2 linked regions of the Rhinolophus ferrumequinum genome follow. Each later gene encodes a partner of the first gene's protein in a complex. Links are inferred from orthologs where the notes say so. Each region holds a gene or a part of one and is shown in the gene's direction. Other genes may lie near its edges.

Evidence for each region.
Region 2: the proteins of RAB11A (region 1) and MYO5B are in contact, whole or in part, in a crystal structure (PDB 4LX0), measured with the Homo sapiens proteins. The link is inferred for Rhinolophus ferrumequinum from reciprocal best matches to the Homo sapiens genes RAB11A and MYO5B. Residues at the interface, in NP_004654.1 of Homo sapiens: Leu11, Lys13, Arg33, Glu35, Ile44, Gly45, Val46, Glu47, Phe48, Ala49, Thr50, Gln63, Trp65, Glu71, Arg72, Tyr73, Arg74, Ala75, Ile76, Thr77, Ala79, Tyr80, Arg82, Gly83; in NP_001073936.1 of Homo sapiens: Ile1627, Gln1628, Gly1629, Leu1630, Trp1706, Met1710, Arg1713, Tyr1714, Ser1717, Gln1718, Glu1721, Arg1724, Gln1745, Leu1747, Gln1748, Leu1749, Lys1750, Lys1751, Glu1755, Ala1759, Leu1763, Tyr1779, Glu1786.

The regions. Positions count from the first base shown.
Region 1 is NC_046289.1:45,041,652-45,045,396, reverse strand, and holds the start of RAB11A (ras-related protein Rab-11A), read left to right. Parts: upstream 1-1,383; 5' UTR 1,384-1,535; coding exon 1,536-1,575; intron 1,576-3,745. UniProt on the Homo sapiens protein: The small GTPases Rab are key regulators of intracellular membrane trafficking, from the formation of transport vesicles to their fusion with membranes.
Region 2 is NC_046302.1:41,029,799-41,033,543, reverse strand, and holds the start of MYO5B (unconventional myosin-Vb), read left to right. Parts: upstream 1-1,124; 5' UTR 1,125-1,447; coding exon 1,448-1,474; intron 1,475-3,745. UniProt on the Homo sapiens protein: May be involved in vesicular trafficking via its association with the CART complex. The CART complex is necessary for efficient transferrin receptor recycling but not for EGFR degradation.

The DNA.
Region 1 (3,745 bases):
TTTTAACATCACAAAGGTTTGCGTAAGGTGTGCAAGGTAGTTCCTCTGGGATTGCAGCTTGGACACCATTTTGAACATGAACTCTGTTTATGTTCTTTTTTAGAAGTCCCTTCACACTGCCATCACTCTGACCTCCTCTGCCTCCCTTTTCCACTTTTAAGGACACTTATGACAACATTAGGCCCACCTGGAGAATCAGCATAATCTCCCTATTTTAAAATCAGTTGATTTGCAACATTAATTTCCATTTGCCATGTAACTGAACATAGTCACAGTTTCCAGGGATTGGGAAGTGGACATCTTTAGGGAGCCATCATTCTGCTTGTAACAGGCACCCCTGCTCAAGTGTAAATTGAGGTATGCATATAGGAGATGGGGGTGTGGCAAAGCAATAGGAAAAACTTTTTGGAATAAAACTCTCTTTAAATCCAGGGAGGCCCTGCTGCTATGATCTTGGGCAAATCACTTGTCTCAGTATCCACATTTCCGCTAAAATGAAAATTGCCATCCTTTGCTCTGCGTGTTAAATGAAATAATTATGTAAACGAGTTTGCTTTAGAGGTTGACAAATGGGGTTTAAGAAGTTCTTGATGAATCTTGATGAGGCGGGTGGGCGAAATTATCTGAATGGCATCTGGAGATTTCCGAGAACAGGAGTGAGTGAAAAGCGCCTGCCCTTGCATGATATCGGAGGTTGAAAATTCTAGCAAAAGGAATCAAGTTTAATCGAAGCTTTTCAATTAGGTTTGAGGCAGAGGACCCAGGTTAAAAAAGGGGAGAAGTGAAGAGGCTCCTTAGGAGACACCCAGGTAACAGAAAGTACAGAATTGAAGGGGGAAATTTGTGAGGTCTTCCTAGGCAAAGGTTAAATTTTGTGAAATTCCCTCTCCGCTGAGTTCAAGGCGATATATACCATAGTTGTATAACAATCACTTAGCAACTAAGCAGAAAAATGAAAAACGTTGGCCAGGGAGAAAAAAAGAGAAGGGTATAGGTTCCACCGAGATTTGAACTCGGATCGCTGGATTCAGAGTCCAGAGTGCTAACCATTACACCATGGAACCACCACACGTGTGCGGGCCGCCTTGGGCTCTCTAATTCTTAGTGAACCCCGCCCCCATTCACAAACCGACCATTTGGAGCCGGGGTTGACGCTCTCCTCAGAGCCCCGGGATGGCGGCCGGAGGAATGAGGGAGAGGCCACCAAGAGTGTGGTGAGCTGCTGTTAGGACTATGATCAGCTTGGAGTGCAAAGCCTCAGATTGTCCTCTGAACCTTTGGGAGGAGGTAAGAATTTGAAAACGGACGCCGTTTCCGCGCACACCGCCCTTCGCAGGCTCAGGGGCAGGGCACCCCCACCCCCGGAAGCACTTCCCCTAAGGGGCTGGGGCCCGCCGGAAGTGGCGTAGCAGCAGGGAGGGGTTCTTCACCCGGTCAGGCAGCTGAAGATCCGCGCTCGGGTTACCCCTGCAGCGACGCCCCCTAGTCCCACCGATACCACTGCTGCTCCCGCCCCTTCGCTCCTCGGCCGCGCAATGGGCACCCGCGACGACGAGTACGACTACCTCTTCAAAGGTGAGGTCATGGGCTCCCCTCCTCTCCACCGAGTCTTGTTCGGGGGCCCGAGACACTCCCGGGAGACCCGCGCGGGGGCTACCCCCGTGTGAAATCGGCCTTCCTTAGCCCTTCCCTCTCGGTGCAGTTTGTTCCGCGGTCTCGCGGCTCAGCCCCTTTTCCTCCCCTCAGACAGGGAGTCGCCGCCACACACCGATCTTTGAGGGACCTCCCCAAAGGCCTTCGCTGGCCTCATAGCCCCTCACCGTGTGTCCTTCTCTCGGCTGGCTCCCATCTCCCACATCGTCTTCCTTTCCGGGATTCTAGGGCCGCTTCAAAGGGGTCACCCCTCCCACCATGTATCATTCCGATTTGGCGCCCCCTCCCCCTCAGTGTCCACCCTGCTGGACTCACTCCCCTTCCTGAACCGCTCTGACCAGCCCTTCCTTGGCTCCTCATCTTGCCTTCGGCGCAGACTCCCACTACAGGTCTTATCTCCCCCCGTCCCCTCGGACCCGCGGCTCTCCTGGCCATCTTCTTCCACCCCGGGGCTAGGCCCTCGTGAAAATCTGAGCGGGCCAGGGGCCCCCACCCGTCCCACAGTTCTGTCCCGGGGATTGGTAGCTCTTTCTCTGCCTTCCCTCCCCAAGTAGTTTAGAGCTCTCCCACATCTCCCGTGCGACCCCACGGGTGGGGAGTAGGGCCAGAGGGATTGTCAGTGACCCACGCACGCACTTGTCGCAGTGACCCGGCAGAGTGATGTGATTTCCCTCCTAACCTTTTTTTCTCCTACCCTCCCTACCCGGCGCCACCGGCCCGGGGTAACTCCTGACTCTGCTCGCGGGAAGGGGTTGCGGATGGGTGGTGGCTGTTATCCTTGCCAGACCTGAAGGCCCAGTTCCTGAGCAGGAAAGGCTGTGCGCTGCACAAATACGAGCTCGTTTTATCATTCTGGACTGATTGCTTCCTGCAGCAATACTGGGAGGGTCCAGCCTTTTAGTGTTTGTAGAACCAGAAGGGAAGAGTCCTAATTGGATCCATACCTTTCTCAAAAGGTGTGTGTGTGTTTGGGGGCGGGGGTTGTGTGCTCTTTGGTGAAATCAAATGTTTCTTATGAGAGAGAATCGTAGTGCCCTTGAGTAAAACCTGTTAGAGGGTGGGGAATGGATAGAAAGAATTGCTTATTGGGCAGTCCGGAAAGAATCCAAATAGTTTTTTGTGGTTTTTGGTTTTTTTTAATCAACAGATAAAGGGGTACAGTTTTCCCTGAGAAAAAGTACACTAAAAGCTTTTTTGTTCGGTGAATGCGCCCTCACTCTGATGCTCTTTCTTTGCTTACTGAATTAGGAGGGCAGCCATCAGTGGTGTACTGAACAAAGATCATTACCAGGGAGGAAGAAGCCATTGCTTTAAAGCTTTACAGTGGAGGGTGGAGTTTAAAAAGAGTGTTAAGCATGGTGACAGTTTCTGACTTTGCCATTGGGTGCTCAGAATGACTAAACGAAGGCGGTAACATTTCTTTGCTTTACCAATACTTTGCAAATCTTGACAACCTAGCTGATGACATATTCTTATCACCACTTACTCCTCTGGGCCAGAAAATTCTATTATATGTTGTGAGTACCTTCAGTATCCTCCCTTTCCCCGGGAGAAAGTCATTTACAGAGAAGAGGGTACTTAATGCATTTTACAAATACAAAAAAGAAACGTGCATTAGTTTACATACTGTTTGCTGAAGTCATCTGAGGTCTGGTGAAGTTACTTAAGTGAGACCCTGGAGACTGGGGTTCAGCCATTAAAGGGAGAATTTTTTTTTTTTTTTTTTTTATTTAGGTACAGTGGCAGTGGGCCGCTAGCTGCCTTTGAAATAATTAATTTAGAACAAGAGACTATCAGTATTTCTCCTGTTTGGTTGGGAGCTTAAATATTGCTTATAGAAGCCATTTATTTTTTCACTAGTAATGTTATGCTGGATTGGCTTAAGGAATTTTAACTTAATTTTGGGCTTAGACTATCTAACAATGATTGAGAGCACAGGGCTTTGGAATCACACAGGCGTGGATTCAAATCCTGACTCAGGTCTTAAATTTGCTTGGTAACCTTGAGAAAGTTAACTTTCTTGAGCCTCAGTTCCCTCATCTATGAAAAGAAAACAAGACATACCTCTCAGGACTGTTGTGAGAATGAAATG
Region 2 (3,745 bases), on another chromosome or scaffold:
TTCTTGAGGGGGGCCTTTCTTAGAGCTATTAAAGCTCCCCAGGTGATAATTCTCATGGAGGAGGCACAGGTAAGAAGGGCCAGACACGTGAATTAAAAGGGGATCTTGCACGCCAGGTGGGAAGCCCTTAAATAGGATGAGTTTAAAAACCCTTCCAGGGCAGGACTCCAGGACAACTGTTCCAGCTGGTGTAGATGGACGCTTTGGTTGGGAACCACCTTCAGAGGCCATTCCTCATTCAGGTACAAATGTCACCTTCAGAAAACCAAGGTCCCATCGCCTCCTACAGCTTCTGCTCTCCCTCCACCTACTCCTGCCAATTATTTTCTTTTTTTGGCTGAAATGTCTACTTTTTGCTGGAAGTAGAAGAGGGACTGAAGCTGCTGCAGGTAGCCACATGCCACTGGCAGAGGGGACAAAAATAGATGAGGTAGGTAGTAGCAGAGGGACTGAGAGTGTGCGAGGGGAGAAAACGTGACACTTCCCAGAGAAGCCAACAATCCTCCCAGATGGTGGCGGGTGCCTACTTGGCAGCTGGGGGAGGCGGGGACGGGCAAACAAAGTGGAGAAGAGTTGCGACTCCCACCTTTCTGATTAAGATTTCAGCGCAGGGAGCCCATCTTGGCGGAGACAATCTTTGGCATAGCCCCGTCACCTCATAACAATCTACGACATAACTGAATTTAAATAATGAAAGTATTGGCTACAGCCTCGTAAAACACAGAGGACAGTGTATGGAGCCTTTCCGCCGTAGACATCCCTCCTTTTATTCCTCTTCGCCTCTCTGGTTACTTTCCTCTTGCGTACTTGTCCGTCCTCCATCCCCGGCACAACCCCCCGAGGCACAGCCCGCGTGGACCCGGAGCGTGGCGCGGCAGGTGCGGCAGCCGGCGCGCACCTGTCCCGCGTGCGCGCGGCGTCCAGCAGGGGGCGGCCGCCGCCCGCTCCTCGCCCGCCCCGCCCCCAGGCCGGAGGACCCCGCGGCGGCGGGGACGCGGGAGGGCGCGTCCAGCCCGGCCCCGTTGGGCGCAAAGGCGCGGCGGCACACACCCGCCGCCCGCTCTGACGCCCGCTATCCTCCCTCCCTCCGCCGCCCGGCGCCGGCACCTCCTCCCATACCTGAGCCGGGAGCGGCGCCGCGCGGCCTCCTCCCCCGCCCGCCCGCAACTCCGGCCCGGCCGCAGCGACGCCGCTGCCGCGGGAGTAAAGGTCGCGCCGGCAGGGAGCGAGCCGGTCGCGGCGCCTCCAGGAAGCCGGCGGGACAGGTCGGGGGAAAGGGACGAGAAACACACAAACTCTCGGCCAGCCCAGGAAGATGGCGCCAGGCGGGCTGGCCGTGGACTGAGAGCCACCGGGGCAGCGAGGAGCCGGGACCTGCCGCCGCCGGGGCACGAGCGAGGGCAGTCTGCAGGCACGGCGCCCCGGGCTCGGCCCTGCCCGCGGGGTCATGTCGGTCAGCGAGCTCTACAGCCAGGTGAGTGCGGGCCGCGCGCCGCGGCCGGGCGGGCACAGGTGAGGGCTGCGTGGGGCGGGGGCGGTGCGCGCCAGGCCACCGAGGCCCTCCCGGGCGCCTTCTCCTGCTGCTCCAGGAGCCGGGGGGCACCTGAGATGCCTCTTAAGCTCCCCTTCACCATCTCTTCGGCGCCCCTAACTTCGGGGTGGAGGAGAAAGTTTGGCTGTTCGGGGAGCGCCTGGCACTGACCGGCCGCGGCTCTGTCCCTGGCTAGGGCTCTGGTTTCCTCCCCGACACTCGGTCATCGCTTTTCTCGCCCCGACTCCGGCTCGGCTCGGGCTGAATTCCCCGAACCGACCGCGGGGGCCAGCTCGGAACCCGCTGCGTGGGGACAGCCCCCTGCGGTGGCGCCCATCTCAGTCACGGACCCTACCCCAGGTGCTCTTCAGCGTGAGCTCCCAAGGTCGACCCACTAAGGCTTGTAAGCCTTCCTTTTCTCCCGAGGTCAATGAGGGGAAACCCTGAACTTGGAGGGGATGTTCCTGCACTTGGGGGTGGAGAGAGAAGGGGTCCCAACGAGGTGTGAGGGGTGCAGCGGCTGGAGGTGTGGAGGGACGTAAGCCATGGGATCGCTGGAGATCCCAGGGAAGCGCATTCATAGTTTGACAGGGAGGGGCACTCGGAGGTGACCCCTCTGGATGGGTACCGGGAGGGCTTCAGTTACTGTGGGGAGGGGGTTGGAGTAACCTGGCGGGGGTGCGGGTGGTGTGGAGTGTGGATTTCCAGGGTGCCTGCAAGGTTAGAATGGATGTATGGGGCTCCGTCCTCAGTCGGGGACAGAAAAGTGGAGACGCCCCGCTTCCGCGGCAGTTGCTATGGTTAAAGTTAGGGACCAGTCACCGCTTCCCCCTACGCCCACTGGTGCGCAGCCGCAGCCGAGGTACCCTCGAGTTTCAACCTGGCGCTGGGGGTGAGAGGGGTCGGGGCATTTAAAGCACGTGCCCACCTCCAACCCATTCTTCAGTTTTGGATGTTCCCACGCCTTTCCTGCCTGCCTGTCTTGGCTGTGGCCGGGGCACCTTGGACAATGCCTTGTGCTCGCCTCTATGCAGAGGTGTGTGTGTGTGTGGGGGGGGTGCACGCACACTCGTGGGTGTGCGATCCTCAGGACACCTACCGGGCCAACAGGTCTGGGTGGAGGAGGAAGGGCCACTTCCGCCTTCTCACCTGGCGATTGCTTGCCGCTGCCGCGCACGTGGGCCAGTCCTTCTGTTGGGTGGGCTGGCTATTTTTCCTTTAGCAAGTTTTCTAATTTCATCGTACCTCCGGGAGCGGGGCAGGGCTGAACTGGGATGATCTGAGGCCGCCACCGCAGAGGATGTAAGTCAGCTGGCGGCGGGTCTCAGCAGCCGGGGACACCTGCACCATCCCCACCAGGCTTTCCCTGACAGCGATAGCAGCGATCACGAATGGTCGGAGGGTAGATTCCCGGAAAGGTGGGGGTGTGTGTGGGGAATCTCGGGTGCTTCTGGCTTTGGAAAAGCACCCCACCCCGTTTACCCGTGGGAGGAGCTCTCAGAGCTCCAGGCTTCAGTTCTTTCCCTGACGTGGGTTATCAGGAACTTTGACTGAAGGTTGGAAACCTGTGAGTCAGGGAAAAATCTGAAGTATAAAGGGCTGAGCTTTGTTACAGGAAAGTTCACGAAAATGCCACTTGTACTCCCAAGTGAAATGAGTGACTTAAGTGAATATACCTGCAATGTATCCTGAAGTCTTTTATTAGATGATTGCAACGTTATATGAAGCTAATGGATAACTGAATAAACCCTTAATTTTTGGAGCCCTGATTATTGGAAAAAGAATTAATATTGGATTGCTTTTAAAGACAACACTTTCAGAGGAGACCACTCAATCTTAAAAATTTTATTGCATGTTAGAAATGAGTATATTGCGTATTAACTATTACAAATGAATTAGGGGTAGTCTGAGCTAAAGTTTTAGTGTACTTTTTCTGGACTTATGGAGATGGACAAAACTGTTTCACCAGGCAAAGGTCTTGGGAGAACATACAAGACACATATTTTTAAGTTTATTGGTGTGAGAGTTGGCGTAATCCAAATAGTATTAGACTTTCTTCCTAGGGCTAGGGGGACTGTATATCCCTGTGTTAATAGGTTTCTAGTTCTTAAACACTTTTAAGTCTATAAATCTGAATTTGAGAAGATTTTCCATGACCAATGCTGTATCTTCAAGATTGTGTTGCTGTTATTTTTCTTCCTGGCAGAGTTAAAC